Linked DNA regions of Macaca fascicularis. The main gene of each other region encodes a partner of the protein of the gene in region 2 in a complex. Links are inferred from orthologs where the notes say so. Each region holds a gene or a part of one and is shown on either strand. Other genes may lie near its edges. The genes, in order: LIN52, LIN9, RBL2, E2F4, TFDP2, TFDP1 and LIN37.

Region 1 (4,088 bases), on a different chromosome or scaffold from region 2:
GATCAAGGAGTTATACTCAGTGGTAGTAGGGAGCATGTGAAATGTTCTTTAAAAAGTATCTTGGCCGGGCGTGATGGCTCATGCCTGTAATCCCAGCACTTTGGGAGGCTGAGGCAGGCGGATCACGAGGCCAGGAGATCAAGACCATCCTGGCTAACACGGTGAAACCCCGTCTCTACTAAAAAAATACAAAAAAACAAATTAGCCAGGCGTGGTGGCGGGCACCTGTAGTCCCAGCTACTCGGGAGGCTGAGGCAGGAGAATGGCGTGAACCTGGGAAGTGGAGGTTGCAGTGAGCCCAGATCGTGCCACTGCACTCCAGCCTGGGCGACAGAGCGAGACTCCGTCTCAAAAATAAAAAAAATAAAAAAAAGTATTCTAATGCTATCACATTAACTGTGTGCATTATAGATGGTTTGGGAAGACACTTTACTAAAAGATATTTTACTACAATTTTTTTATTGTAAAAGTAAAGAAGAAAGTAAAAAAAAGAAAACCAACAAACCATAGCCTTACCACTAAGAGATAACCACTATTAACATTTCATGTGTTTCCTGGCCCCACTTTTAGTCCCTTTATGTGTCTATGTGTGTGTTTATATTTATACTTGCATCCATTCATGTACCATGTACACAGATAATGCTTCTTTTCTTTCTTTTCTTTCTTTTTTTTTTTTTTTTTTTTTGAGACAGGGTCTCCCTCTGTCACCCAGGCTGGAGTGCAATGGCGCAATCTTGGCTCACTGCAACCTCTACCTCTCGGGCTCAAGCAAGTCCCCCACTTCAGCTTCCCAAGTAGCTGGGACCACAGGTGTGAGCCACAGCGCCTGGCCAGAAATGCTTTTTTAATATAACTGAGATTGTTGTGTGTGTGCGTGTAGTTTTAACTTGTGCTTTAAAAAATTTTATTCTATCTTAAGCATTTTCCTGTGTCATTAAAGGTTCTACCACTGAAGATTTTTGAATAGGAAAGATACACACCTTTAGGAGGCATTAGTGCACAGGATAGAATAGGATGGTAGAGACAGGAGGCAGGAAGTTACAGTGGGAATCCAGGATGAAGGATTGAGAGTTTGGATGGTGGCAGTAAGAATGGGAAGAAGTACACTGACAATAGATTTTTCAGATTTGGAATTTTTAGGAGTAGGTAAATGTCTGGATGGGGATGTTACGGGATAAGCTGAAGTTAGAGCTTACCATGATGTTTTAGCCTAATTAATGACAGGGAAGTCAGAAGGAGGCTAGATGCCTGCTTAACAACAACAACAACAACAAAAATCACATAATTATTTTACATGCTCCTTTGTAGGAAGGCATCTTTATTTTCTTAGAAATAAGTAAATGTCATTTGTAGAGGTTAGAGGTTAGTGTTATTAATAAGATGTCTAGTTCAGTCATATTACCTAGGCAACAGGTAATGTTTTAGATAGTGAACGGTGAGTTATTTGATCTGAAAGAAATCAATAGGTGAAATAGGATATCCATAACTTCAGAAATTGACTTGTGAAGTCCCTATTTTCTTTGGCTGGTCATTAGGCTGCTAAGTAGAATGACTGACTTTTGTATAGTTTTCTTTTCTTTGAGACAGAGTCTCGCTGTGTCACCCAGGCTGGAGTGCAGTGGTGCGATCTTGGCTCACTGCAAGGTCCACCTCCTGGGTTCCTGCCATTCTCCTGCCTCAGCCTCCCTAGTAGCTGGGACTACAGGTGCCCGCCACCACGCCCGGCTAAGTTTTTGTATTTTTAGTAGAGCTGAGGTTTTATCGTGTTAGCCAGAATGGTCTCCATCTCCTGACCTCATGATCCGCCCGCCTCAGCCTCAGAAAGTGCTGGGATTACAGGCATGAGCCACCGCGCCCAGCCTTTTGTATAGTTTTCTTCCACAGTAGTGCTTTTTCATTCGGGTACCTACCTATGAACTTTTCCTGAACTTTCCTACAAGTTTAGAAAGTTGTCATGGCCTCTGTATACGGTAGACATCCAGTTCTTTGTTAACTGGAAAAAAGTTTCAGAAGTTTAAATCTGAAGTAACAGGAATTGGTCCAAAATATTTGTTGTTGCTCGTGTTTTAAGTAAGTGACATTGGATTATATCAGCACTGGGATAACTCTCGTTAGGTGTTATGACTGCAATTTACATGCAATTGGAGATTAGTGATTGAGAGGGAAACAAACTGCCAAATTATCTTCCAAAAAGGTACTCCTCACTCCATATCCTTGCTAATAACAAGTATTATAATTTTTTAAAGTCATTGCCAACTTGATAGGCAAAATATTAATGTGTTGTTCTAATGTTCATTTCTTCTATTGTGAAGATGAGCTTTTTTTTTTTTTTTCATGTTTCTTGATCCTATCTGTTGACGAGGGCTGGAAGTTAAAGATTTAAGTATAAATTTAAATTATTTTAACCTGAAAAATAAAGCCAGGGAACTTGATTCAAAAGCACCCTAAAGACATTGTGTTGAAATCTGTGTCTCAAATACCGATGGAACCTTATCCTTGTTTTCTTTGTTTTGTGCATTACTTTACCATCTTGCCATGGTCATTAGCTTTGTACCTATTTAGGTTACAGCATAAAATCCAGGAACTCCACCTTGAAGGGATCATGGTTATTCTTCTTAATTAGAAATTGTCAATTTAGCCTTAAGTATTTTGTTTTTTAAAATGTTTTATGATACTGTGAAATAAATCATGCTGTTATTTCTCATTTTTCCTTTGGTTAACAAATTAGGATATACAAATCTTCAAATTACCTTTAAGGCTTGTAAACATTCAAATCTTTTATCCGTTAGTCATTTCATAAACCCAACATTGCCTCTGAAATGGCTTTACACACAAAGAGGATTTTACCATAAAATGCTTGTGGTAGTTTATTCTCTTCTGATTTTTTGTAGGGGAAGGGGAGAGGAGAGTAGGCAGAATATAAATTAATTTGGATGGTGTTGGTTTCAAAGTAGCATTCCATATAATTCTGCAGAAAATATGATAAATAAGAAAATGGGCCAGGCACTGTGGCTCATGCCGTAATCCCAGCACTTTGGGAGGCCAAGGCGGGCAGATCACCTGAGATTGGGAGATTGAGACCACACTGGCCAATATGGTGAAACCCTGTCTCTACTAAATACAAAACCTAACCAGGTGTGGTGGCACATGCCTGTGGTCCCAGCTACTGGGGAGGCTGAGGCATGAGAATCGCTTGAACCCAGGAGATAGAGGTTATAGTGAGCCAAGATCAAGCCACTGCGCTCCAGCCTGGGCAACAGAGTGAGACTCTGTCTCAAAAAATAAAAAATAAAGTACATAGTAAAACAAAGTTCAACATTTGGGAAATAGCAGGTCAATTACAGTGTTACCCATACAGGAGAATACAATGTAGTCATTAAAAAACATTAAAAGGACTGGCCACCGTGGCTTATGCCTGTAATCCCAGCACTTTGGGAGGCCAAGGTAGGCAGATCACTTGAGGTCAGGAGTTCGAGACCAGCCTGGCCAAGCTCGTGAAACCCCATCTCTACTAAAAATACAAAAATCAGTTGCTCGTAGTGGTGGACACCTGTAATCCCAGCTACTCTGGAGACTGAAGCAGGAGAATCACTTGAACCCAGGAGGTGGAGCCTGCAGTGAGCTGCCAAGATTGTGCCACTGCACTCCAGCCTGGATGACAGAGTAGGACTATGTCTCTTAAAAAAAAAAAAAAAGCACTAAAGGGCATTTCATGCCAGAAAGGTTTCATTATATATAAGGATAATAGCAAGTGACAAAATGCAGAATATAAAATTTTACAGCAGGTATCTTTTTTTTTTTTTCTTTTGAGAGCATGAACATAGACAAATGGCTAGAAGGAAATACATCAGTATGTTTTAATGGCTATCTTGAGTGGTTTTTAAAAATTTCTAAATTTTCCAAATTTACAATAAACATTCTAGGCTGTTGAATAGGAAAAATACTACTTTAAAAAACAGGGAAAAGTTGTATGCCATTTTAGAAACAAAATTGTACTTACATCTCTGAATTTTCTAGGCAGTTAAATTTTTGAGCTCTTCTGTGAACTGTTTCTAAATAAAAATGAGTAGATCCATTAATAACAATTG
Region 2 (4,614 bases):
TCAGCTACCCAGGAGGCTGAGGCAGGAGAATCGATAGAACCCGGGAGGCAAAGGCTGCAGTGAGTTGAGATCACACCACTGCACTCCAGCCTAGGTGACAGAGCAAGACCCTGTCTCAGGAAAAAAAGAAAAAAGAAAACAAAAGTGAGAGAGGGAAGTGTCAAAGAAAATCTCTAGGTTTCTGCCCTGCCAGCTGAATGCACAGTGGAATCATTCGAATCACTAGAAGTATCTGTCATGGGGTAAGGCTGAGGTGGATTTTAAACTCGTGCAGTTCTAGGGGCCTTTGAAGCATCTAAGAAGAAATGTGAAATAGGCAAGAGATATCAAGAAAGGGAGCTCAGGAAAGATCTGGGCTGAAGATAGCCTTAGTTTCCTCATATAAAATGTGAGTACTTACGTCAATTGAAATGAAGATTAAATGAGCAAATACATATAATATCCTTTGCATGGCATCTGGTTCATAGTAAATACTCAATAAATGGTAGCTTTGATTATTGATAATGTTATATTGACTACTGAATAATATATTGGCTAGACTCCTTGACTAAATGTGGCCAAAAAACATACTGTTATTTCCAGTATCAAATTGAAATTGCTTTTCCTTTTCAAGACCCTCCTCCAGTTTCATTAATAATACCTGTTACTTTGCATTAATTCCATACAAATTAAGTATTTATGTATACTTGATTTGTGGCACTGTATAACAAAGAAAGAAAATCCCTGGTTTCAACAAAGCTGAAGTCTGGTTAAACAAGACATACACACGAATACACATCAATGTACCAGAGATGTCACAAAGTAATATAAATGATTAGGTTATATTAATTTGAAAGTGGAGCTGGAATTTGAACCCTAATATAAATCCCAAGTCCCTACAAAGAACCACAGTAAATTCTCAATAAATGTTGGATGATATGAAGCAAATATTCCCAACGGCAGTTGTAAGAAAGCCACGTAAAACACCTCTCATTACAACAGAATGACTGCAGTAACCAAAATAGGAGCTCTAGTGATTGTGACATCCAAGAGGTGATAAGACATCTTTATGATAAAGATACCAAGGATGACGAAAAACATTTTCGGATGACAAGTACACTGTGCTTAGTAGGTCCACACTCATTTGGGAGCATTCAAAGTCACAATCAAGGCCAGCCACGGTGGCTCATACCTGTAACCCCAGCACTTTAGGAGGCTGAGGCGGGCGGATCACCTGAGGTCAGGAGTTCGAGACCAGCCTGACCAACATGTAGAAACCCCGTCTCTACTAAAAATACAAAAAAATCAGGCGGGCATGGTGGCTCATGCCTGTAACCCCAGCTACTCGGGAGGCTGAGGTAGGAGAATCGCTTGAACCTGGGAGGTAGAGGTTGCAGTGAGCCGAGATAGCGCCATTGCACCCCAGCCTGGGCAATAAGAGTGAAACTCCATCTCAAAATAAATAAATAAATAAATAAAATAAATCACAATCAATTGTATTCTACAAATAAACAATACAACTCATGACTGGTCAATAGCTGTTCCCTATCCAATACAGTGGCTACTACCTACATGTGACTATATAAGTAAAATTCAAAATTCAGTTCCTCCATCACTCTAGCCACATTTGAAATGTCCCGTATGGCTAGTAGCTTGGCTACCCTATTGGCCATCACAAAAGAGAACAGTTCCATCATCACGGACAAAGTTCCTTTGGTACTTAGTGCTGCTCTCTATCAAATTTAAAACACAACACTTTTAATACGACTTTTCACCAGCTTGGCAACTTGAACTTTTATTTTAACTTTATAACTTATTAAGAATACATGACCTCACAAAGAAAATGGAATCGGTATGTTGAGTTCTCTTTTTCAAAGTCCATTTACCTTGTGCATAGATAGATTCAATAGTGATTGAGCCTTTCACAAATATGTATAAACTGAATAGTGAATGTGGATTCAGGACTTTTTTGTAATTAACTAACATATTTGCCTTTTCATATAATTTATGCAATACTGTAAATTACAAAAGTTCCATTGCCCTTAAACTACGGAATTGGTGCTTTTACTTACTCAACACAAGTGAGTATACACGTCTTAGATGTCAGGGTGAGTAAACACGGATAGGTGAGGCAATGCCCTAGGGTGGGTGTCAGGCAGGGTACTGCACATGTACGCTGTGTTGGTCACATCCATACATAAAGGTACCTTCATGGCTCTTAAGACACATATAGAATAAACTCTGCGGGACGGGGGCTACCTGAACACTGAGTATCCGGGCTGGATGATCTCAGGAAAGGTCCACAGCCACCTGTGGTCCCAGGGGAAGGGGCCAACCCTCTGACACGGAAACACTTCCAGGGGTGGACACACCGGTGGGGGGGCGGGGAGGACAGTGAAGATCACAAGTGCCCGTAGAGGCAGGAGCTGTGACAGGACAAGATCAGAAGCTGGGGCAAGAAGAAGGGGCCGTGGACCACACCGTGCCCAGCCCGAGCCCTCCCCCGGCCCCGGGACAGGCGAGTTACATAACCCCGGCGGGCGTCTCTCGGCGCCGGGCGAGTGGTGCAGGCGGCGAGGACAGCCCCCGCGCCCGGGGGCCGCTCTTCCCCCCACCTCGGCTGGGGGCCGGAGTCGGGCCAGGGGAGCAGCCACCGCCTCCGCCTGGCACAGGCTGGACTCCCGGGCTCTCGGTTTCCGGCCCTGGCGCTCACACAACCCCAGAAACCAACACACAGACACCATAACAAAGGCGGCGACGCGGCGGCAACACCGGAGTGGGAGGACTAGGGGACCACAGTGGGGCTGGCAGTCAGCCCACCTGCCCAGCGGAGGGCACGGCCGTCCGTCCCGGCCGGTGCAGCCGTGGGGCAGGCAGCAGGCGGGAAAAGGCGGGGGTGCTTTGAGGTGCTACTCACTCTCGTCAGGCAACTGGTCGAGCTCCGCCATCTTGAACGAGCCGCGCCGCTTTTTCAAAGGCTGCCCGCCGCGGTGCATTGTGGGGCGGAGACTGTCTTTGCGAGGGAGGTTCGAATGCGGAGCTCGCTGCCCGCGGCGCTGCGCCGCGCTGCTCCCGCCGCGGCTGGCTGAGGCGGGCCGGGCTCCGCCCGCGCCTGCCTGGGGAGGAGGTGCCGCCGAAGGGGGGCCGCACCTCGCCCCTCCGCCGCCGCCTCCGGCCGAGCAGGGCGGGAGGAAGGGAGAAAGGAGGCCGCGCGGCGAGGCCCGGCGCCGGAGCGCTGGGGGAGCAACACCAGCTCCGGAGTCCCGCCCGGGCCCCGCTCCAGGCGCGTGTTCCGCGGCCCGCGCTGCAGCTGCGGGAACTGCAGGCTGTTTGTTCCGAGTGGAGAACTGGAGGGAAGCCCTGGCAGGGGGAAAGAAGCCCTCTGTTCTGGGACGCATTGCCCGACGGGGCTCTACGCAAAGTGAAATATTCACGGTTCCCGAAACCCACATTGCTCGGGCGCCTCCGTCCCCTCACTTTTCCCGAGAGCGCCGGCTGCAGCAGCCCACTGCGCGTGGCGACGTCCGGGACTCGGCCCCAGCGGCCCCTCGCCGGCCGGGCACGCCTTTCCCGAATGTTGGAAGCTGAGCTGCGTGCAGCGGGGGAGCGAGACCTTGAGAGGTCATGAAGTTGGTCATTTAGGCCGACAGCTAAAGAACTGTTCTGCTCAGCTGTTTCATCCATTCGACACTAGATCGTGCAGTGGGCTGGAAGAGAATTAGGAAAGGAAAAACAGGAGGCTTCGAGAGGATACAGAAAGGAACAGTGACACTACAAGGTGATAAACTACCTGATCAAATGTTACGATGATATTGGACGAGAATTCAACGAAATTGAAAGAAGCCCTAGGAAAAAAATTCACAATATCTGTAACACTTTCCAGTAATAAAGCACTGTTGCTTTTCAAAAATTCATTTAACAAATGTCATTGAGCTCCAGTCCTTTTCTCCAGGAATTTATGGGTTTGGAGGAATGGGACCGCTAAGCAAACATGGGTGAATCCCAGGAACTACAAAGTTAAAAGGCGGTTTACTAAGATGACACAGAGGCCCGCCCAGGCTAAGGAGTTGAACTTGCTTAGTGCACTGGAGCAGTGGAAAAGTCGGGTTTTACCTAAAGATGGGGTATGTTTCTATTTGTGTTTTCGAACAAAAATATGGGAAATGGATTGGTGGGGGACAAGATGAGAGCCTAGAAACCAGTCAGGAAGAAGCTTATTTGGGGCATACAAAGGACAGAAGAGAGATGACTGCACTGGTAGCTAGAGAGGTGCAGAGGGTGGGCTCTGGAGCCCCAGGGCCTCGATGGGAAGAATCCAGATGGGCTGCTAGTTGTATAATCTCCGGCACGTTGGTTTCCTAACCGAATTCTCTGTGCCTCAGTTTCTTATCTGTAAAATGCAAGTAACAGAGTTGTTTTGAGGGCTAAATGATTTGATAGATGTAAGGACCTTATAATAGCTGCTAACACCCATCAGTTAGCCACTACCACCACCATCACCACAGCATAGGCAGTATTAGAGAGAGGTGGCAGCATGCACTCCACCTTTCAAGACGTGGAAAATAAAGGATTGGGTGAGTCACTGGGTGTGAGGAGAAGGAAGTCTCATTGCTGATGCCAGCTTTGTGCCTTGGG
Region 3 (4,518 bases), on a different chromosome or scaffold from region 2:
TGTATTACATATGTCTCTGGGAGATGGTTTCATAATATTCTTGATTTATGATGTAAAAGCAAATTTAGATGCATAACTACTGCATTTCTCTACTCTATCAAGATCTCTTACAAAGTATAAAGTTAAGTCAGTCATAGCATTATCCTGTGCTTCAATAAAGGGTTTAAAAGATAATCTATAATGTTCTATTTTGGCTCTAGAAAATTCACAACTACTTGGATGGCAGAGAGAAAACAACAACAACAAAAAAAGAAAGTCTACAGCTGCATCTTTCCTAAAAAGAAGAAAAGAATTAGTCTTGTGAGAATTTTACCGTACTTAGATGATAAAACGGAGCGGGAAGTTCTTTTAAACAATTTATGCAAAGAGTAGACTCTGCCTAGTTTATCTTTGGTCCTAAAAAATATTTGTTGAAAAATTCCATAATACTAAAAAATAGTTATCCTCAAAATTAACATCTCGTGGCCATATCTTATAGGGTCAAATAGATCTGGTTTCAAATTCTGGCTCTGCCATACAGTAGCTGTAACACAGTGGGAAAATTACTAAACAGTCTCAGAGGCTGCATTTTTTTGGCTGAGGACTGTAAGAATGAGTTATAGGTTAAAAATGCACAGAAAATACAATGAATCAAATTAAATTTCCATAACCAGTATTCTGTATTAAATATCATAAGAGCTTTATTTCCCCTTACACTCCCATGAGAATGACATCCCACATTATCTCACAGCGTAGCTCACTATAAGCCCCACAAAGGCAGGTATTTTTAGGCTTTGTTTGATGCTCTATATCCAGCACTGAGAACAGTGTGTAGCACTGAGAACAGGTGCTCAAGAAATATTTGATGAATATTTTACTGAGTAAATCATTTACTGAATAAACTGGGCTAAGAAGCTGAAACTAAAGTCTCAGTAATCAAAAGAATTGAGTAATCAAACATGTGTTTTCAAAAATAATTTACTAACCAGCTCTTACGTGGTATTTGCTCATGTATCACTGGACTTCATACAACTTAACCACTATGAGTTGACATACCTCAACTAAATGGTGATAACGCTTGTTCTATCTAATTTACAGGATCATCCTGAGGGTAAAATAAAAGCTAGTTTAGAAGCCTTTAAGGCCCTTTACCAAAGAAAAAAAAAAAGCAAAAAAAAGAAAAAAAAAAAAAAAGTCAACCAGTCCTTCTCTTTGCCAGACTACAGAAAGGCACTGAGAGACGGACAGGAACATAGTTTACTCAGCCAGATCATGTAAATATACAAAGAGCTTAGGAAACTTGAAAGCACCGTCCATATGGGTGCTTTATGTGCCAGAAACTACATTGTTGCCTTATTTAATCTTCAGAACAGCTCTGTGAGGTAAACACACATATCTCCAGTTTAAAGATCACAAAACTCAACTTTCCAGCGGTTAAGTAAATTGTTCAGTCACCCAGGTCTGTCGGGTTCTAAAGCCACCATACACTATCTTTCTTCTGCAGATATAACAATTCAAAGAGGGAAATCGTAATTGAATCAAAATTCTATTAATGCAAATACAAATTTAAAATAACCTCACTCATCAGTACACATAGCCAAAAACATCATATTTAAATAATACCTTGGTTAGGCTTTGCATCCTGGGCCTATTTGCCCCCCTCTTTATCCAAAGTAATTATAAAACTACTTGAGAAATTAAATGGCCTCAGGTTTAAATGCCACACACACACAGTAGAAGAGCTGATAAACAATCCGTACTTCCGTGTCACTTCCCATTGGCCCATGAAAGGGAGGTGCCTACAGAACTAACAGTCACTGGCTAGAATGGCCATTTTTCTCATCCACAAGCCCAGTCCGAAGGCTGCGACCTAACACGCCCGGATCCCGACAACAGGAGTCCTGTGCAATGCCCGGGGTGACCAAAAAGCCCTCGAGGTAGCCACAATCCTGAGCCTAGTGACAAATGGGAGCATGTATCTATATCCGGGTCGGCGGAGGGCTCATTTCATGTGGCCTGGGGGAAAATGAGTCTTAATTTGTTTACACAGACGTAAACACAGACCAAAACGCATCAGCTCGTTGACTCTAACGCCAGCAACGTCTGGGCAAAGGCAATTTGGTTAACAGGGGGAAGCGAACAGACGGAGACGCCTGGAGACCCAGGTGCCACAGCCCGGTTAATCGCGGTGCAAATAAGGGCAAGTCCCCTCCCCTTCTCCGTGCGGTCTTGATAACGACACTAGTTCATTCTACTAACAAGGCGGGCGGGGGGTCAGATGGGCCACACACACCCATCTTCCTCATCGGGACCCCAGCGCGATCTCAGCTTCCCTATGTTACTTTAGGGCAAAACGCGTTCCCCATTCGGAAGCCGCGGGGAAGCGCGGCGAGAGCAGGTTCGCCCTCGGAGCGGCTAAGTGCCTCGGAATAGCGCAGAGGGGGTCCCCACGCCTCTCCCGGCTGGGATCCCGCAACCCGCCCGAGGGTCTCTCGTGGCGCGCGACGCGGCTCGGAAGGCACCGGTTCACGCCGACTAGGCCGGAAGCGCCCCTCCGCCCGCGAGCGCACCTCCAGAGTGTAGCTCTCGCTCATGCTGCGGTAGCTGTCCCAGGCCTCGGCCCGCGCCGCCTCGTCCATGTTGAGGCGGCTGCACAGCTCGTCGAACCGCTGCTGGATGTGAGGGGTGGGCGACTCGTTAGGCGGCGCGGCGTCCTCCGCCTCGCCGTCGTCCTCCTCCTCCTCATCCGAGGCTGCCGCCGCCGGAGGAGGAGGCGGGGGCGGCGGCGACTGGTCACCTCCCGACGGCATAGCGCACCCCTGGGCAGCCGGACCTCAGGTGAGGTGAGGGCCCGGGCCCGCAGCCATTCAAACCGCGAAGCGCCCGCCCGTCCGCCGCCCGCTCCGCGCCTGCGCCTGCGCCGCTGCCAACGACGCTGACCTCCTGCAGGCACCCGTAGTCTTGAGCACGGCCTGCTGGGAAATGTAGTCCAGGCCGACGGTTCAAGGGGGCCAAAAATCATGTTTAAAAAAATTAGCTCGCCTAGTTTCACCAGGGGTGAAATAAAAGCACCTTCCCCGCATTTTAAGCACATACCTCCCCATCGTGAGAACATTCAACAGGGTTGTACTGACGAGAAAATGTCCAAAAGACACTGACGTGTGAAGGTTTCGCATCCAGGCTGTTCCCAGAAGTAAAACTTCCTCATTGCCTGGATATCCTTATCTAAAAAACCAGGATAATAGCAAGGGCCTGTCTGTGTACCTTCACGAAACTGCCTTTGCAAAAATCCTAACAGTGAGAAAGTTACCACTGGGAAAGGGATCTGACCTAAATGACTCCATGCTTCTCACCTCCGAGCTGCACTTGTTCATTCCCAGGCGAAGACCCAACTAACTACAGGAGGAATTTAATTTGTAGTTTCACTTTGAAGCAAAGATTTTTACAAAGCTTTCCCAAAACAAACCCCCTTCTTGCCTGAGGATCAGTCTGCCTTTGTAGAACTAACAAATTAGCCACAAGATTAGAAATTATGATTTAGGAGTCTTGCAGCCAGAGGCTACAAGATTCCTAACCTCCCCAGTTGCTCTCAGGGATAACATCACTATTGTAAAACCTAAGATTGGTGCTGGAGATACTTTTCAGACCCCGCATTCCGATGCATGAGCTGGCGCCACTCAGACCATAATCTGGCTCAACCAGTTCTACAGTCCCACTCAGAAACAGAAGACAGCAAGAGCCCACTTCAACCCCCTAAGATTTCACCTCCCACCTGACAAATTAGCATTCGCCACTCCCTGGCCCCCTACCCGCCAAGTCATTCTTTAAAAACCCCAGTCTCCGAATTTTCTGGTAGCTGACTCTGAAGGGCAGACAGTCCTTTTTTTTTTTTTTTTTTTTTTTTTTTAATTTGAGACAGAGTCTGGCTCTGTCGCCCAGGCTGGAGTGCAGTGGCACGATCTTGGCTCACGGCAACCTCCGCCTCCCGGGTTCAAGCGATTCTTCTGCCTCAGCCTCCTGAATATCTGGGATTACAGGTGCGTGCTACCGCGCCCGGCTAATTTTTATATTTTCAGTAGAGGCAGGGTTTCACTATGTTGACCAGGCTGGTCTCGAACTCCTGACCTCAAGTGATCCGCCCGCCTCGGCCTCCCAGAGTGCTGGGATTACAGGCTTGAGCCACCATGCCCGACCAATTCATTTTTTTTCGAATTCTCCTTTCTTTAATTTTTAAAATTGCCAATCCTTGATTTATAAATGAGCTTGATATAAAACATTTTCCAGATTGAGGAGCTGTAAGAAGGCATTACTGTTTTGCTATTTTTGTTTTGCTTCCTGGGGCATGTAAACTGACACAGGGAAAATTGCTGGGACAAAAGCAGGGGCTTATGGAAGGTATAATGACAGGCGGGAGGACAGGAAATGGAACCCTGAAGATAGGAGAAAATCAGGTAGAGACAGGTAACAGGATATTTCGGGAACAATTTTGAGGCAATGAAACCCTCTTAAGAAAACCTTAGTAAAATTCACAGTAATCAG
Region 4 (4,850 bases), on a different chromosome or scaffold from region 2:
GAGGCTAAGACAGGAAAATTTCTTGAGCTCGGGAGGCGGACGTTGCAGTGAGCCAAGATTGCGCCACTGCACACTCCAGCCTGGGGGACACAGTGAGACACCGTCTCAATTTAAAAAAAAAAAGGCTCATTCATTACCACAGCAAGGGAAGGCTAGGTGGAGGTCAGGAAAAAGACAATCCCCATCTTGAAGGGTCTCTTCCAACTCTGAGTGTGGTGTTTCACAACACAGAGATACTGCCTCTTGGGCCTCTGTCACAAGCTCCCATGGTGCCTCACCTGTGATCTCAGCTGCTGGGCCAGCCATTCCCTGGACTTCTGCGCTGCCGGGGACAGGAGTGGGAGTGAGCTGAGGACTATTTGGACGTGAGGCTTCCTGGGATTGGGACTGGGCTAGGGCAGGCTTCGGCAGAGGTGGAGGCGTGGAAACAGCAGGTGGGTTCTGGAGCAGATCTTCAGGTGGTGGCACAGGCACAGCCACAGGGGGTGAGCTCCATGCCTCCTTGTTCACCAGCAGAACCTCAATGGGACCACTCACACTCTTCAGGTGAATCTGGTACTTCTTCTGCCCATTGAGACCCTAGAGATGGGTGGTAAGGGATGGGAGATGGGTAGAATTGGAAGCAGGCTTGGCTCCTGCCCGACTCTGTCAGGACCAGTGTCCTCTCCCACCCAGGATGCCCATCCTCCTAGATAACCCCAAACTCCAGGCCTCCCCTACCTGCCCCACCCGGGACTTATCAGTCTCCACAGCCAGCACCCGCCCTCAGCTGACCCCGCCTGCCTGGGCTAAGCACCCACCTCTGGGATGGGCACCTCCAGGCTGGTGCCTGATGGGGCCCGGATGGCCAAGAGGGTATCTCCTAGAATGACATGGAGAATGGGTCAGAGCCCATGGGCTCAATCTGAGCTGGGAACAGAGGTGCCTGTCTTTTGGAGCAAGGCAGGAGATCATGGTCTCTGAGGGACTAGACAGTGGACCTCACCCATTCCCCATAGTGGCTGGGCAGAGCTAAAGCTCTTCTCTTCCTGAGAGCCCAGAGTCAGTAACCAGGAAATCTGGGTTCAAGTATGTGGAGTCAAATATCACTGGCCACAGGCACCTCACTCTTCCACCGATGGCTGTTCCCTAGGTGAAGGTATTCTAGCCAAGGCCAACATCCCTTTCCCATGACCAGTCAGGAGGATACATGATGGAGAAGAAACACATCAGCGGGGCACAGTGGCTCACACTTATAATCCCAGCACTTTAGGGGGTTGAGCGGGGAAGACAGCTTGAGCTCAGGAGTTCAAGACCAGCCTGGCAACATAGCAAGACCCTGTCTCTTTTTAAAAAAAAAAAAAAAGGAAAGAAAAAAAAGGAACATATCCTGCATTCACAATGCAATTAAACTAACAAGTTGGAAGTGGGCACCCCCATGCCCTGCATGTAAGAGCCTGAACACAAGCAAATACACACATATCCTCTCTCCCTTTCTCCCCCTTGTACCTCTATCATACTCAAGAAGCCAAATCCAGGAAACAGTACAGTTGGGAACAGACCCAGGAACCCACTCCAGAATTCCTGTACCCTCTTGGTATAGCTGACCTCCACAGGGTCCCAGTGACACTCAGACAGAAGACTTACCCTGCCTGGTTCCTCTCTGAGCAGGCCCCAGAAACCCTCTTAAGAGACGGAACTCTCCTGAGACACTGAGCCCAGTGCTCAGGGATTTGGTTGAGCCCAGCCCACCCCCTCACCCCTACCCAGGCTCTGCTCACCAGCAAAGCATCTGCAGATGTCCTCATGAGTGACGTAGGCCAAAGTGTGAGGGTTAAGGAGAATGGCCGATGCCCTATGGTGACAGATGGCAGACTACAAAAAAGACCCAATTCTTTAGCCAAGGTCTGACACAGAGGCCCCTCAGAGAAAGTTCTGGGGACTCAGGTCCACTGGGGGAGGGATCACAGGCTAAGACTGGAAGGGGAGAGGCTCTGAGGAGGGAGCCTGAGGCTGGGCCATGGCCAGGGGCCACAGGACAAGCTCCCAAGAGGAACAGGGAGCTTGCCCAGGGCAAGTTGAACCAGAGGGCCCCTTGCCCACTCCCCCCAGGAGGGAACGCCAGGAGGATATCAGCTGTTCTGCACGTCCTCTGTGACGTTCCGGATGCTCTGCTGCACCCACACCTTGTGCTGGTCTAGTTCTTGCTCCCGCTGCTGCAGCTCCTCGATCTCTGCCTTGAGCTCAATCAGCTTGTCGGCAATCTCCCGGGTATTGCAGCCAGGCCCCACACCCCTGAGCCCAGGGAGTGGGGCTGAGAGGGACTGCTGAGAACTCTGGGTCCCACGGCCCCTGCCTTCTTTGGCACCCTCCACCCCACCCCCGACACTTCTGGGTGGGAGACTCTACTACCCTCCCACTATCCCCACTCACTTCCACTGGATGCTGTTCTTGGACTTTTTCTCGATCAGCCCGATACCTTCCAAAACATTGGTAATGTCGTAAATCCGCCGCTTCTGGCGTACAGCTAGGGTGTCAGCTGCCTGGCAGACAGAGTGGAGAATGCTCAGCCCCACTCTCGGGTGTACCCCCAGCCACCCTGAGACGTGGTCTGGGAAGGGAGTAACCTGGATTCCAACCCTGTAGTGCCTGCCAGGCGCTACTGCAGCTCAGGCCCGCAGCTCTGTCCCATAGGCAGCTCTTCTCCTCGCCAGCCAGGAAGGGCCACGAGGACGAACACCTGGAGCCCCGAGCCTGGCCCATAGCTGTAGCTCAATGGCCTCGGCCGAATGAATGAAACATTCCCCGGCTTCTCTCCTGTGAGAAAGCACACGATGGCGGCCGGCTCTCGGAGGACCCAGCTGGGCCGCCCCCGGGGTTCCCGCTACCGGCCCAGGCCTGGTCCACCATCCTCCCTTGTCGCCCCTTAGCCCGGGCCGCACCAGCTTGAGGTCAAGCACGCCGTCCTTGGCCTCCTGCAGAAGAGACACGAACTTGGTGGTGAGTAGTCCCAGGCTCTTTTCGTGCCGGCTTGGAGTGCCCGGGGGCGGCGGCGCCTGCGGCCCGGCCTCCGCCATCGCGTCCGCCCGCCGCCTCCCCTCAGCCAGGCCAGGCCAGGCCGGCGCCGCCGCCACTTCCGCTTCCGTTCCTGGCCGTCCGGCAGCCGGAGCCAGCGTTGCTGCTTCCGCTTCCGCCCCGTGCGTCTTCCAGGGAACGCGGCGCTATTGCTGTCTGTGGGTGCAACCGCAAAACTTCAGGGACCATTAGCAAATGTCCAGCCGCCGAATAAGACGAAAACTACCTGGGTAGACCGGGAGTTGGGATGAAGTTAGGGAGGAATGAGGAGGGCGTCAGTGGGCAGCCCTGGCAGTAGAGAAAGGGATGCCATCGGAACTTTCCTTGCCAATCTGCCCCAACATCACTAACTCTGCCCAGTCCCCATCTCGGGAGACAAGACCACACTACCTGACTAATCCAATCTGTTCCCTCAAATCAGTTCCTTTTAAATTTTTTTCTCTTTATTTATTCTTTTATATTTCAAACTCATTTTACTGCCACATCAAAAATGTTCCTAAAGGTTCCCCTACTGTCTTGGGGTCACCCCATCTATTCCTGTCCCTCACTTCCTGCCAAACAGCAAGCACTAACTATATCTACCTTGTCCACCTCTCTCCATCCATGGTCCTAGCCTCATCTTTCGCTCATCTTGTCCTCCCGCTACAGTGCTCAGAGACTATGGGGTTATATACACTTCAGGCAATGCAAACGTATTTACCTATGTGTATATATCAGTAAAGCACTCAGAGTCATTTCTGGCATGTAGGAAAGTTTGCTAGGGTCATTTTGTTACTTGTAACATTGTTACTATTTATTATTGTTTCTTTTAGGTCAGGTTCTATGGGAAATGGGACTCGAGACAGGGTTTTGCAGCAAGTTTGTTGGGGATCCACACTTCTTTTTTTTTTTTTTTTTTTTGAGACAGGATCTCACTCTGTTGCCCAGGCTGGAGTGCAGTGGCAAGATCAATGCCATCTCAGCTTCCTGGGCCCAAGCGATTCTCCCACCTCAGCCTCCCAAGTAGCTGGGACCACAGGCATGCACACACCATGCCCGGCTCATTTATTTTTAGTTTTTGTAGAGATGAGAGTCTCACTATATTGTCCAGGCTAGTCTCGAACTCATGGGCTCAAGCGATCCTCAGACCTCAGCCTCCCACAATGCTGGGATGACAGCGTGAGCCATCACACCTGGTCAGGATCCACACCTTTAAGGGAGTAAGACAAGCAGAATTGGGCAGATGCAATTATATTATAGGCCTCAGCCTATGCCACTAGGATCTCTGAAATTGGGGTAGCACTTCTGAAGAGTTTATGTTCACGTGATGGTACCATGCTTTTGCACCCCAATATTGATCTCAGCAGCCTACACTCCTGGCAGCTGGAGAATGAGCACTTCTGTCCTGAAGGGTGGATTTGGGTGGTGGACTGAACATCCACTAAATTATTACCACCTTATAGTCCCTTCCCTGGCTCCCTATAACTCTCAAGATAAACACAGCTGCCCAGTTGCGGTGACTCACGCCTGTAATCCCAACACTTTGGGAGGCTGAGGCAGGCAGATCACTTGAGCCCAGAAGGCTGCCGTGAGCTATGATGGTGCCACTGTACTCCAGCCTTGGTGACAGATCGAGACCCTGTCTAAAACAAAACAAAAAAAAACACAGCTTTCATGACCCTCTCCTGCCATCCCCCACCACACCCCTCTTCACAACAGCCTGCCACCTCTCACTTCTCCGCAGAGGTACACATCCTCCTCGGAGGCTGACCAACACAGTTTTCATCCTGTGCTGTTGAAGTCGTCTGCATCCATAT
Region 5 (2,807 bases), on a different chromosome or scaffold from region 2:
GTTCTCTAGAAACTGCCTCTATCTCTGAGTCTGTACTATGGCTTATTTCTGACAGAATGAGACTTTTGTATCAAAGGAGCTCCAGCTAAAGTTGAATGTTTTTCTTTCTCAGTTTTTATGGCCTTATTAAACATGTTTAGCTAGCCAAAGCTTTCTCCTCCTCACCAGGCTCACTGTCAACATGGTGGTGGGGCTAGAAAGAGGCACCACAGGAAGAAGCCTGCACTTCCCCCAAGGGATTTAAAAAAGAACCAATTTGGGCCATGCTTGGTGCATCTAGCATCATCTTGGGATAAATCCACATGATTCAGGTCAAAGTTTTGGAGTTAATTTTCCCATTATTATTTGCTCCTTTCCAAGGCCTTAATGTGAAATTCAGGGTCTGGCCATGGTGGCAGATGTCCCTACACTCTTTCAGAGAAGAAGCAGTTGTGAATACACCACTGCAGTATTTCTAATGACATCTTGAGCCATAAACAACATAACTGCACTACCATATATCCAGGCAGTAGGAGTGTTCAGTTTTCCAGTGTTTCTGTGAAACACTAAATATTGGATTAGTTTGAAATGCAACTGACCCCAGGAGTAGGTTCAATAAGGTCATTCTGACTAATGAAAATGTGAAAAAAGGTGACATGTAGAAGGAAACATTGCTGTTCATATTCTTGAAATAGACTTTTCTTTAAGACAAAAGTAATGACATTTGGTTCATCTTCACAAATTGCACACTGGGTGAGAGCATACAATTGCTGCAGGGAACTGTAGGCAAGCAATTTGGTCATAGGAATTTGTCTTGTTTTAAATGAAAAAGCTATATGAAATGCATAGCTTTGATTAACCTAAAGATACATTTTCCCTCTTTATAAAACTCCAGATTTAGGATGCTGGCAAAAGGCAGTGCTGGCAAAGTATTTAATGCACATGGAAATGCTATTCTATTTTGGCTTCCAGAAGTAGCCCTAGTAAATTCTATGCATCAATGCATTGGCTAATAATAATTTCAGTTTTACTATAAATTATCTAAATGTCACTTAAGTACTTAAGAAGTAGCGCTTGCTCCTTTCTAGAAGCTGTCTAAGGCAGCTGATGCATAAAGCACCTTAACTAGACCTCCAACTAGTTCAGCAGTTCAATCTGTGCCCCTCGGCCACAGGACTGCCCTCAGTATCCCTCACTACACAGCTCCCCTCTCGTGGGGACTTTTCATGTTCATTTCCGCCTTGTCAAAGGCAGTCCAGGCAGGGAAGAGAAATGTCAGAAACATGATCGTCAAGGACTGCTCTGTGTAGCAATCTCAATTCTAAGAATAATTACATGGGTGTGAGGAACACAAAAATCCCACCTCACAGAAGATAAATGAGCACACTCACACTGCCAACTCTTCAGGAATTATCCCCACTAGCTCCTCAGAAAGCATGCTTTGTTTGTTATATCATCTACTGCTCTGTTGGCCAGACTTTCATTCACACTATGTTAACTTTCATCTCAATCATCTCAGCCTTCATGTGATTTGCTTATTGTGTTTCTCTAGTTTTCACTGAACACACAGTGCAAACAAAGGCAAAGACTGAAGCAATCATTTCAAAAACAAGAGCTCACACTACAAACACACATGAGCATCACATATTGAAACGTAGGCTTTCTCTTGTCTTTATTCTGGGGAGGAGGAATCCTCCTCATCATCTTCCTCATCTTCATCATTGAACGAACAGGGGGTCTCGCCTCGGGACTCGGAGCAGTGAGAGGCTGCACTGCTGGACTGGTGACTGTTTGGGGCCAGGAACTGCCCAGTTGCTAAGGCCACTTCTGCATCCAAGCATAACCCTTGGTTTACACTAGCAAACAATTAAAAACACACAGGCTCATTAATGTGGTATAAACAGTTTTGTAAAATATAGGAATAAAAACATAGGAAGGAGGTGCCATTGGTGAGATCTGCCACAAACCTGCTCAGCAGGACCTGTGCTGGCAGTAACATGACCCCGGCTCACCCCTACACAGACAGTCAGGGCTCTGGGGTTTGCCTTTCTAACCCTGAAAAAAATACGTACCTTGACTGGGGTAAGGTGGCACCAGTGTTCAGGTCTAAATTTGAAACTGATTGGGTAGAGTTCAGAAGTAGTCCCTGATTTAACCAAGAAGGTCCTGTGGAGATATCTAAAGGAAAAAATGAGAACAAAAAATGTCGGTCCTGCAAGTTTTGTGGCTGCTGTTGTTACAGTCTGAAGAAAGCACAGAAGAGCAAGAACTAAGCTTATTCTTCATGACAGCGAGACAATTCTCTTGCTGTGAGAAGAACCCAGGTTTCTTCATCTTCTTGGAAGAAAAAGAAACTCTAGAACACAAGAGCAGGAAAAAAAAATACGGGAAGGCAGCTTATGGAGAGAAGGTATTCAAATGAAAACACTCACAGGCGCTTTCTTACTCTTTTTCTTAGATAAGCCCTCCAGAGCACAGCCCATGGGATGCAGCCCAGTGTACCATCCTCAATGCCTGGGCTGCCCTCACCACAAAAGACCTGGACTGTGGTGTTGACAGCCAAAGCCAGAAGTGGGAAAAGAGAAAATCAAATCAGAAATACATGAGGTAAGAAGGCCACCCTGCATAGAGGGCAGACAGATCTGTTTTGGCCAAAACCCCTGCCGCAGTGTCTTTTCAGGTGCCTGCTGCTGGTGAACTCAATGCTGCTACTCATCAAATACCTATTCTTTTTCCTGACAAGATTTTTCCTGGTATCCTTTGCTTTCTAATTCAAACTAGCTCTTATTTTTAAAAACTCACATGCAGTCATGTTTTTAATGAGGTGG
Region 6 (4,088 bases), on a different chromosome or scaffold from region 2:
GCAGGTACTAAGGCACTGGCAACCAGGACTGTCCCTCCTGACAGACTCTGTGGCCCTGAGCAGCTCTCGCCCACGAGTCTCCATCACCATGGCTGCCACACCATCCCCTCTGGGAGGGCTCGAGCACACCTCGGCCAGAGCAGCAGTCAGCTCTGCACTGAGCACCTTGCACACGACCCCCTCCACACCAGACACGGGGCCCCCAGGGGTGCCGCCCACCCTCAGCACTCAGTGGGAGGTGGGGAAGGCCAGCTCCAGGGCCCTGATCAGCACTGTCAAGACCCAGGTGCATTGCGCCCACCACAGTTTTACATGCCTCGCCTGGCACCTGGGCCTTGGGTTAAGCACCTCTGAGGGGATTTTTCAAATGCTGCTTTTGCATGAAGTCATCCCTCCATCTGTCTTTTGGCTGTTTAGACACTGTGACGAGGGATACACACATACACATGCACACACACAGGCACATGGATGCAGGCACACACACGCAGGCACGCACACACATGCGTGCACACACACGCAGGCACACACGCAGGCATGCACACACATGCACACACACAGGCACATGGACGCAGGTGCACACACACATGCACACACACACGCACGCATGCATGCATACGCACACACATACACAACCTCGCTCTGGGAACACGGCCCACATTCAACACCTATGAGATGAACTCACACTCAGAATCTTAAAGCAGTCATTTAATTTGCCACACAGGAGCGTAACCCAAGGCAGTATGTTGCTGTTATAAAACTAAATTAGTAAAATAAAAATTACCCTGCCTCCAAAGATATGTATTCTCTTACCTGTAGAATAAGTTCTTGAAGTTGAGACTGTTTCTGTTTTATTCTTTCAAGTCTCCTCTGTCTTTCCACCTTCAAAAACAAACCCCCCATGTAGAGAATCATCACGATTGTTCCATACAGTGCATTTTACAACCCGCATCCTCAGTGTTACCTATGTTTACCTTGAATGTAATCGAAGGGATATGGACAAATCTAGACATAGCAGATGCCACAAAATACAGGTGAGTTTTTCTTCCATTTCTAAACTATACCTTTTCCCCTCTCCTCTCATTTCTTGGATTTAACTATGGTATCTAAAAAGAAAACAAAAATCCCACAAACTAGGATTCACAATTAACCTGTGCTAGAGTTTAACACACTCTAGTGGGTCTGGGCCAACCATGCTCCCTCCCCTGACAGCCGAGACTGAGAAACGCAGGGAGACGTCTGCATGACCGTCTGCCAGCCGTCTGGACACAGAGAGCATAAGGGCATGGAGCCCAGACCCTTCTGAGTGACGGACAACAAACACATCTACACAGACTTGAAGGGAAATCAAGGTTGAAGGGCCACCTCTAAGTTCTGACATTCCTGAGCCGAGTTGGTGGGCAGACCAATCCACTTGATCTCCTTCTTCTCCTTGGAGATGATGTTCATGGCCATCAGCACGTTTAAGGCATCGTAGACGCGCCGTCTTATGTTCTTCTGGTCATAAGCCTGCGGATGACAGGGAGTGGATTTTCCAAATGATCCAAAAAAGCCTGTGGATCCCACCTTAAACTGTAGGCCACGTGCACCGGCTTGAAGGGGCACCCCGCTCACAGAGCTGTCACCCCAACACGTCCTCAGGGAGCACTCCCACCCTACAGATGATGCAGGGCAAGACAGGGCTGTGCGAATCCCAGTGTGTTCCAGGAGGGGAGCTGGGGGCCCTCGGGTGTCGAGCCCAGCTGGCGAGGAGGGCACGTCTGCATTTCTGGGCCGCTGGATGTGCAGAGCCAGCCCACGTGCTCGCTCACTGACGCTGACAGAGCATCATGCCAGCAAATGGACTGGGAAAAATTCTGTCATGCTGTACTTGGAATTTTCTGTATGGTTTTAACTGTTCCCAATATTAAAAGAGTAAAACGTGCCACACCACTTGGTTCCGCTACCCTGGCCTCTCGGCCCCCAGCACACACTTACTGACTCGTTTGGTAAGATGTGGTTGTCGGCAGCACTGAACTCCGCGACCAGCTCGTCCGCCACTTCGTTGTAGGAAGTGGTCCCTTTCCTCTGCACCTTCTCGCAGACCTTCATGGAGAAATGCCGCAGGCCCTTGCCATTCTTCTCTCCTTTCCTGTTGCGCTTCCTTCAAAATACAAAGGAAAAAAGAAGCGACCGTCAGCCCTCCTGAGCATCAGTCTGAATCGAGGAATGCTTTTACCTGAGAGCTCTAATGAGCTGCACAAAAAGGGGCCACATCCCACGGGCGCAGCAGATCCAACACGTGAGCAGGCCAGGACCACCTAGCCCCAGCCCCCAGGCCCAGTGCTCCTGCAGGTCAGAAAGCGAGTGTCTCCCTGGCAGGCTGCACCTCTGTCCTTCCAAGTGTCAGGGAAAACGGGAGGCGTCCCCAGGACCCGAATCAGCATATGGAAGGCCTATCAGTACTCAGCATATGAGAGGCCTATCAGTACACCAAGCACTTCTTTTTTTTTTTTTCTTTTTTGAGATGGAGTCTCGCTCTGTAGTGGGCTGGAGTGCGGTGGCACGATCTTGGCTCACTGCAACCTCCGCCTCCTGGGTTCAAGCGATTCTCCTGCCTCAGCCTCCCAAGTAGCTGGGATTACAGGCGCCCGCCCGCCACCACACCTGGCTAATTTTTTTGTATTTTTAGTAGAGACAGGGTTTCAGCATGTTGGCCAGGATGGTCTCAATCTCTTGACCTCATGATCTGCCGGCCTCGGCCTCCCACAGGGCTGGGATTACAGGTGTGAGCCACAGGCATCACTTTTCTAAAGAGGGCAACCAGAATCAGGAACTATGGGACATTTCAGTGTACATTTGGGAATTTTTAGGACAAATTTCAGCAGGCTATAATTTCATACGGCTTGGGCTGTGATAGCCGCTTGACAACAGGTGCAAACCACTAAGTGTTCTTCACACAGAGGGAAAGCCCAACTCTACACTCTGGTCAGTCCCCACGTGGCGGGAAAGGTCACCTGCGGTCCCAGCTGGTGAAGCTTTGGGCACCGACACAGGTAGGTTTTTGTAGCTTTGCATGTGTGTTTTTTTAAGGAAAGACACAGCTCATCAGATCTTGCTTTAGTGGAAGGAGCCACTCTGGTGGGACCACTCACGGGGGCCGTAACCCCAGGGGCAGTAGAGGCTGCATTCAGGGGCAGTGGGTGAAATCCATCCCGCGTGCTCCCAGCACAGACGATGAAAAGTCTCCAAGGTCCTGTGGCAAGTACAAGGCCAGCTTCTCCCCGTCTTGGCCAAGAGCTGCCAGCCCTTCCAAGAGCACCCACTACACCAGACACAAAGCAGGGTGGGCAGTGCCCAGCCCGACTTCTCCGTGACCGAGGCAGTGCGCCTCGACTGCACACCTGTGCGGGGCACGATGATGGGTGAGTGTGATTCGGAGGCTGACATCAATGCGCATGGGAGCCCCACCGTGCGACTGTGTCACGCACGTGGCCCAGGAGAACGTGGAGGTGCGAACCGCAAGCAATCCTACAACTCTAAGGGTCCGGAGGGAAGTGCTCACCCGGCAGACCAAGGTGAGGAGTCGGAAGGCTGGTTCTGAGAGGCAAAGTGAGTGCTGGGGGTGTGTGGGCTTCCTACCACCAGGGTGTTTGACGCTGCCGGTCTCTGAGGCGTACCAATTACCTATAGTCAAAAAAGACAATTCAGACAGTCAGTCCCCGCCCACACGGCGAGGGTGCCACGCCCACCAACTGTTCGCTATCCACAGCCACTGTGGAATTTTGTTAACCACAGCGAGCAGCCACGACGGGGCAGGAAAAACGTCTGGCGGTGGACGCTTTTGACACGGTGACGGCATCACCACACCTGTTCTGACTGTGGCTCATCTTCCTCCTGTCAGTCACAGGCATCTTCTCCAATTAGACAAAAGCAACAAGAAACTGTGAACAACCCAAGCAAGCAAGAACAGGACAGGGCAGAGCGTGACCCCCAAAGCGCTAACGGTCATTTAACGAAGGGGGCGGCACAGAATTCCACACAGGGCACTTCGGCACGCTTCTGTTTTTCCCTTCACCCTTTTACTTCCTTTTAGCAATATGGATGAGGAT
Region 7 (4,683 bases), on a different chromosome or scaffold from region 2:
GCTCAAGTGATCCTGCTGTCTCAGCCTCCCAAATAGCTGGGGCTATAAGCACGTGCCATAGAGCCTGGCTCAGATAGATATTATTTTTATTCGTATTTTAAAAAGAATGAAACTGAGGCACAGAGATGTTAGGCCACATGCTCAAAGGCACACAGCAAAGAAATTGCAGAGCTGATTATTTGAACCCAGGCTGTCTGGTTCCAAAGCTGAAGTTATGAGACAGAGGCTCAACCTGAGTGCAGAATCTGGTTGAGGCAGTGGTATAACTTTATTTTAATTAATTAATGTATTTATGTTTTGTGAGACGGAGTCTTGCTCTGTCACCCAGGCTGGAATGCAGTGGCATAATCTTGGCTCACTGCAACCTCCACCTCCTAGGTTCAAGCAATTCTCCTGCCTCAGCCTCCCAAGTAGCTGGGATTACAGGAGCCCGCCACCATGCCTGGCTAATGTTTGTATTTTTAGTAGAGATGGGGTCTTACCATGTTGACCAGGCTGGTCTCGAACTCCTGACCTCAGTGATCCGCTGGCCTCGGCCTCCCAAAGTGCTGGGATTACAGGCGTGAGCCACCACACCCGGCCAACAGTGGTATAATTTTAAATCTGAATTCAATCTGAATGAGCTGACATTTAAAAATTGGGAGATTTCTTTTCTTTTGAGACAGAGTCTTGCTCTGTTGCCCAGGTTGGAGTGCAGTGGCGTGATCTCGGCTCACTGCCACCTCTGCCTCCCGAGTACAAGTGATTCTCCTGCCTCAGCCTCTCAAGCAGCTGGGACTATAGGCGTGTGCCACCATGCCCAACTAATATTTGTATTTTTAGTACAGACAGGGTTTCACCATATTAACCAGGTTGGTCTCAAACTCCTGACCTCATGATCCACCCACCTCAGCCTCCCAAAGTGCTGGGATTATAGGCATGAGCCACCATGCCCGGCCAAAATTGGGAGATTTCACCTAAAACATCCTGTTTGGACTTTTTTTTTCCCCTCAGGAAATGAGATCTAGGCCCACCCTCCTGCCCAGTGAGCCTGTGGCTGCCTCCCATCATCACAGAACTTGAGGGAGTGATGATGTTATGCTGTCCTACCTTTGAGAGGTGTTTGCTCTGCCTTTCTGACTGGTGGGAGCTCTGGCTCTAGTGCTCAGAGCCAGGAGGGGACACCTGGGAACTTGCCTGACCAGTCCAGGGACTTCCTGAGAAGGTCAGGAGACACAGGGATTCAAACATAGCTCAGAGGAAAGACAGAGTGAGGGTGGGGAAGGGAGTAGCTGAGATTGCAGCAAAGCCTTGGGCGGATGCAGAGGGTACGGATCTCTCCCCAGGCCCAGCTTCTCTCCTGAACCCCCGACTTGGGCCTGAAGCCTCCCTCTCAAGGGTCGCCTCACTGTCGCCTAGTTCCTCCCTGTACCTCACCATGAATACCCCTCTCTCTCCCCTACCCCAGCCCAGCAATCCCATGACCTGTCCACTAGGCCTCCCTAGTGTCTCTCCCACCTACCTCCTCTCCACTCTATCCATGCTGGTCCAGACCTTTGCTCCCCCTGGGCTCCCACCTCAGCGTCCCCTTCTGATCCACCCTCCACAAGGCAGCCAGGGGAATCTTCCAGAAAAATAACAAACCTGACCCTGATCTTCCCCTGCTTGGAACCTTCCATTGGAACCTTCCATGACTCTACAGCACCCAGGGGTGGAGTCTGCACTCCTCAGCCTGGTACTAAGAGATGTATACCTTCCCTCACCATCATTTGTGGTCAGACCCACTTCACTTTTCTTTCTTTTTTTTTCTTTTCTTTTCTTCTTTCTTTCTTTTTCTTTCTTTTCTTCCTTCCTTTTCTTTCTTTCTCCTTTCCTTTTCCTTTCCTTTCCTTTTTCCTTCCTTTATTCTTCCTTCCTTCCCTCCCTCCCTTTTCTTTCTTTCTCTCTCTCTCTTCCTTCGTTTTTTGGTTTTTTCTTTGTTTGTTTTTTCAGGGTCTCAATCTATCACCCAGGCTGGAGTGCAGTGGTGTGATCTCAGCTCACTGCAACCTCCACCTCCCCGGCTCCAGCGATCTTCCTGCCTCAGCCTCCTGAGTAGCTGGGACTAGAGGCTCGTGCCACCACACCTGGCTAATTTTCTTTCTTTCTTTTTTTTTTTTTTTTTTTTTTTGTATTTTTTATAGAGACAGGGTTTTGCCATGTTGCCCAGGCTGGTCTCAAACTCCTGACCTCAAGTGATCTGCCGGCCTCGGCCTCCCAAAGTGTTGGGATTACAGGCGTGAGCCACCGCACCTGGCCTGCCACTTTGTTTTGATAACACTTTTGCCATGGGACATCCTACATCATTTTACTATTATCTTTCTGTCTAAATTCTGCACCCCTCCCACTGCCCTTACCATGCCAGGCCTGCGATCCGGTCAGCTCTGCCCCAACCCAAAATGATCTAAGTTTCAGTTTCCCCAATGACCACAATTCCTATTTCCTAGGATTACTGGAATATAGTGACTGTGAGGATTAAGAGTGCTTGTACTTCAGGCTCACAGCAAGTATGTGTGACTGATCACTGCTGGAAATGGGGAAACTGAGGGGAAGCCAAGAAAAGAGAACTTCTCGGCCGGGCGCGGGGGCTCACGCCTGTAATCTTAGCACTTTAGGAAGCTAAGGCGGGAGGATCACTTGAGGTCAGGAGTTCGAGACCAGCCTGGGCAATATAGCGATACTCCGTCTCTACTTAAATATTTAAAAAATTTAGATTAAAAAAAAGAGAAAAGGGCCCTTCTCAGAGTTACCGGCTCAGGATTCCCCATATCTTACCACGCACCGCACTGCCTGAGCCACCACCATTCAATCTCAAAGCGACTTCAAGCGCAGACCGGGAGGGTGTGAAGGTGGCAGCCAACGCTCGCTGCCTGATACAGCGATTGTCAGGTGGGCTGCAGGGAAAAGTCGTGCAGTCCTCTTTCCGCGATACTCCCTTCTACCGGGACTCCACACCCTGTCAACCCGATGGTCCCGACAGGCCCCCGACGTCAGGGTCCTCACCTGATTTCTCCACTTTCACCTTCACGGGGAACATGGTTTGGGTCCAGGATCTGGCTAGCTGGGTCAGAGGCGCCCCAAAGGGCCTAGGGTCACAAATCAAGGCGGGAGGCGGGCGGGGACAGTTCAAAGATGAGCTTCGTGGGCCACAGCTCCTCCGCCTTTGGTTGTGTTCAGCCTGGACCATGGCCACCACCCTTCTGTGGGCGGGCCCCTTCGGCAGCAGCTTGCTCCTATTAGTTAATGCAGTCGTCAATCTTACATCCTGACCAATTGAGAGCTGCCTCCGTAGTCTCCCAGCTTTAGGTCCCACCCTCCTGGGGCTTTGCTTCCGGAAACAAACCATCGACCACCAAGCTTCCTGGGAGGTGTAGTTCCAGGTTCCCAGACCCACCCGGAGTAACAGCGCCTGCGCCGCGCGGGGCACGGTGGGAAACAAAGGATTAGGGCATCGCGAGGCTTCCCGGGACTTGTAGTGTTAGAAGGGTTGAGCAACACCAATTTAGCTCTTTACCATATTTAACCAACCGTTGGAGTCCCTTCATCCCTAAGAGGAAGACTAATGTAAAATAACGTTGGGTTCCCTTTCACTGAGCACTCTCTAGGTGACAGGTACCAGTTAATCTCTTTGCAGGTACAACTTCATTCATTTTGCAAATATTTATTAGTATGCCGGGCACTCTTCTAGGCATTGGGGACACCTTGAGGAACAGAACAGACAAAAATCCCTGCCCTAATAGGGCTTATCTTTTAAAGGATGGAAGATAAACAGTAAACAAGTAAAACATTCTAAGTGAAATGTAATAGGAGAAAGAATATAGTCTGGGCAGGGCATGGTGGCCCACACCTGTAAGTATCAGCCCTTTGGGAGGCCGAGGTGGGCAGATCACCTGCGACCAGGAGTTCGAGACCAGCCTGGCCAACATGGTGAAACCCCGTCTCTACCAAAAATACAAAAATTAGCCGGGACTGATGGCATGCCCCTGTAATTCCAGCTACTCCAGAGGCTGAGGCAGGAGAATCGCTTGAACCCGGGAGGCGTAGGTTGCAGTGAGCTGAGATCGCACTTCTGCACTCCAGCCTGAGTGACAGAGCAAGACTCCATCTCGAAAAACAGACAACAACAAATCCCCAGCCCCCCACCAAAAAAAAAAAAAAAAAAAAAAACCCACAAAAAAAGTGTAGCCTTAAACGGACATAGGAATATCAAGGTGGTGATTGAATTTTAAATAAGATGGATGGTCAAGGAAGGATTCTCTGAGAAAGCTCTTGACTATTTTTATTTTTGCAGACAACACTTCCTTCAGAAAACGGGAAACTTGGATTTATCACACATCTTGGTCCAAATAAATCCTAGGAGGTAGCATTGTGATCTACACTTCTGATGAGAATACTGAAGCCCACAGTAGGAAAGTTATGTTTTTGAATTCACGACTACCAGTACAGGGTAACAGCCCCTAGAAATGGAAGCACTAGACCAGTTGTACCACTGCATTCCCGCCTGGGCAACAGAGCAAGACTGTCTCAAAAAAAAAAAAAAAAAAAAAAGCAACGGAAGCACTATTCCTTTCTTAGTTCCTCATCTAATAGTTTCCTGCGCAGGAAAGTTCCTAGTTCAGAAGATTATGAGTAGTATTTACTGTAAAAAATGTACATCATGTCTAA

Evidence for each region.
Region 1: the proteins of LIN9 (region 2) and LIN52 are in contact, whole or in part, in a crystal structure (PDB 6C48), measured with the Homo sapiens proteins. The link is inferred for Macaca fascicularis from reciprocal best matches to the Homo sapiens genes LIN9 and LIN52. Residues at the interface, in NP_001353174.1 of Homo sapiens: Leu335, Gly336, Phe338, Phe342, Leu343, Ile344, Val346, Thr347, Leu349, Ser350, Lys351, Leu353, Met354, Lys356, Lys357, Ile360, Leu363, Arg364, Asn367, Thr368, Ala370, Glu371, Lys374, Ile382, Phe384, Gln385, Tyr388, Ala389, Val392, Leu395; in NP_001019845.2 of Homo sapiens: Asp61, Met64, Leu65, Leu68, Gly69, Leu71, Thr72, Thr73, Leu76, Met77, Val80, Leu83, Gln84, Leu86, Ala87, Leu90, Asp93, Glu94, Glu97, Met98, Arg100, Gly101, Leu104, Asn105, Ile106, Leu107, Glu108, Pro110.
Region 3: LIN9 (region 2) and RBL2 share a complex: the UniProt entries of both Homo sapiens proteins name them as parts of the DREAM complex. The link is inferred for Macaca fascicularis from reciprocal best matches to the Homo sapiens genes LIN9 and RBL2.
Region 4: LIN9 (region 2) and E2F4 share a complex: the UniProt entries of both Homo sapiens proteins name them as parts of the DREAM complex. The link is inferred for Macaca fascicularis from reciprocal best matches to the Homo sapiens genes LIN9 and E2F4.
Region 5: LIN9 (region 2) and TFDP2 share a complex: the UniProt entries of both Homo sapiens proteins name them as parts of the DREAM complex. The link is inferred for Macaca fascicularis from reciprocal best matches to the Homo sapiens genes LIN9 and TFDP2.
Region 6: LIN9 (region 2) and TFDP1 share a complex: the UniProt entries of both Homo sapiens proteins name them as parts of the DREAM complex. The link is inferred for Macaca fascicularis from reciprocal best matches to the Homo sapiens genes LIN9 and TFDP1.
Region 7: the proteins of LIN9 (region 2) and LIN37 are in contact, whole or in part, in a crystal structure (PDB 7N40), measured with the Homo sapiens proteins. The link is inferred for Macaca fascicularis from reciprocal best matches to the Homo sapiens genes LIN9 and LIN37. Residues at the interface, in NP_001353174.1 of Homo sapiens: Lys99, Ala101, Ser102, Gln103, Lys104, Ile105, Gly106, Arg108, Leu109, Arg110, Leu112, Leu113, Lys114, His119, Trp121, Cys122, Ile123, Glu125, Trp126, Phe127, Thr227, Leu237, Phe238, Leu272, Ser273, Asn274; in NP_061977.1 of Homo sapiens: Tyr95, Ile97, Leu99, Phe100, Asp101, Arg102, Val104, Leu106, Ala107, Phe109, Ser110, Glu111, Asn112, Thr113, Pro114, Leu115, Tyr116, Ile118, Cys119, Arg120, Trp122, Met123, Asn125.

What each region holds. Positions count from the first base shown.
Region 1 is NC_088381.1:142,054,854-142,058,941, forward strand, and holds part of LIN52 (protein lin-52 homolog), read left to right. Parts: intron 1-692; coding exon 693-810; intron 811-4,088.
Region 2 is NC_088375.1:84,220,335-84,224,948, forward strand, and holds the start of LIN9 (protein lin-9 homolog), read right to left. Parts: upstream 3,094-4,614; 5' UTR 2,976-3,093; coding exon 2,897-2,975; intron 1-2,896. UniProt on the Homo sapiens protein: Acts as a tumor suppressor. Inhibits DNA synthesis. Its ability to inhibit oncogenic transformation is mediated through its association with RB1. Plays a role in the expression of genes required for the G1/S transition.
Region 3 is NC_088394.1:49,422,003-49,426,520, reverse strand, and holds the start of RBL2 (retinoblastoma-like protein 2), read right to left. Parts: upstream 2,885-4,518; 5' UTR 2,790-2,884; coding exon 2,550-2,789; intron 1,731-2,549; exon of another isoform or gene 1,621-1,730; coding exon of another isoform or gene 1,603-1,620; intron 1-1,602. UniProt on the Homo sapiens protein: Key regulator of entry into cell division. Directly involved in heterochromatin formation by maintaining overall chromatin structure and, in particular, that of constitutive heterochromatin by stabilizing histone methylation.
Region 4 is NC_088394.1:63,212,064-63,216,913, reverse strand, and holds the start of E2F4 (transcription factor E2F4), read right to left. Parts: upstream 3,118-4,850; 5' UTR 3,057-3,117; coding exon 2,922-3,056; intron 2,523-2,921; coding exon 2,413-2,522; intron 2,275-2,412; coding exon 2,113-2,274; intron 1,805-2,112; coding exon 1,761-1,804; intron 863-1,760; coding exon 801-862; intron 580-800; coding exon 279-579; intron 1-278. UniProt on the Homo sapiens protein: Transcription activator that binds DNA cooperatively with DP proteins through the E2 recognition site, 5'-TTTC[CG]CGC-3' found in the promoter region of a number of genes whose products are involved in cell cycle regulation or in DNA replication.
Region 5 is NC_088376.1:44,769,226-44,772,032, forward strand, and holds the end of TFDP2 (transcription factor Dp-2), read right to left. Parts: intron 2,158-2,807; coding exon 2,052-2,157; intron 1,836-2,051; coding exon 1,652-1,835; 3' UTR 663-1,651; downstream 1-662. UniProt on the Homo sapiens protein: Can stimulate E2F-dependent transcription.
Region 6 is NC_088391.1:104,024,858-104,028,945, reverse strand, and holds part of TFDP1 (transcription factor Dp-1), read right to left. Parts: intron 3,664-4,088; coding exon 3,542-3,663; intron 2,141-3,541; coding exon 1,975-2,140; intron 1,507-1,974; coding exon 1,363-1,506; intron 880-1,362; coding exon 811-879; intron 1-810. UniProt on the Homo sapiens protein: Can stimulate E2F-dependent transcription.
Region 7 is NC_088393.1:42,980,008-42,984,690, reverse strand, and holds the start of LIN37 (protein lin-37 homolog), read right to left. Parts: upstream 3,206-4,683; coding exon 3,022-3,205; intron 2,913-3,021; exon of another isoform or gene 2,824-2,912; coding exon of another isoform or gene 2,794-2,823; intron 1-2,793.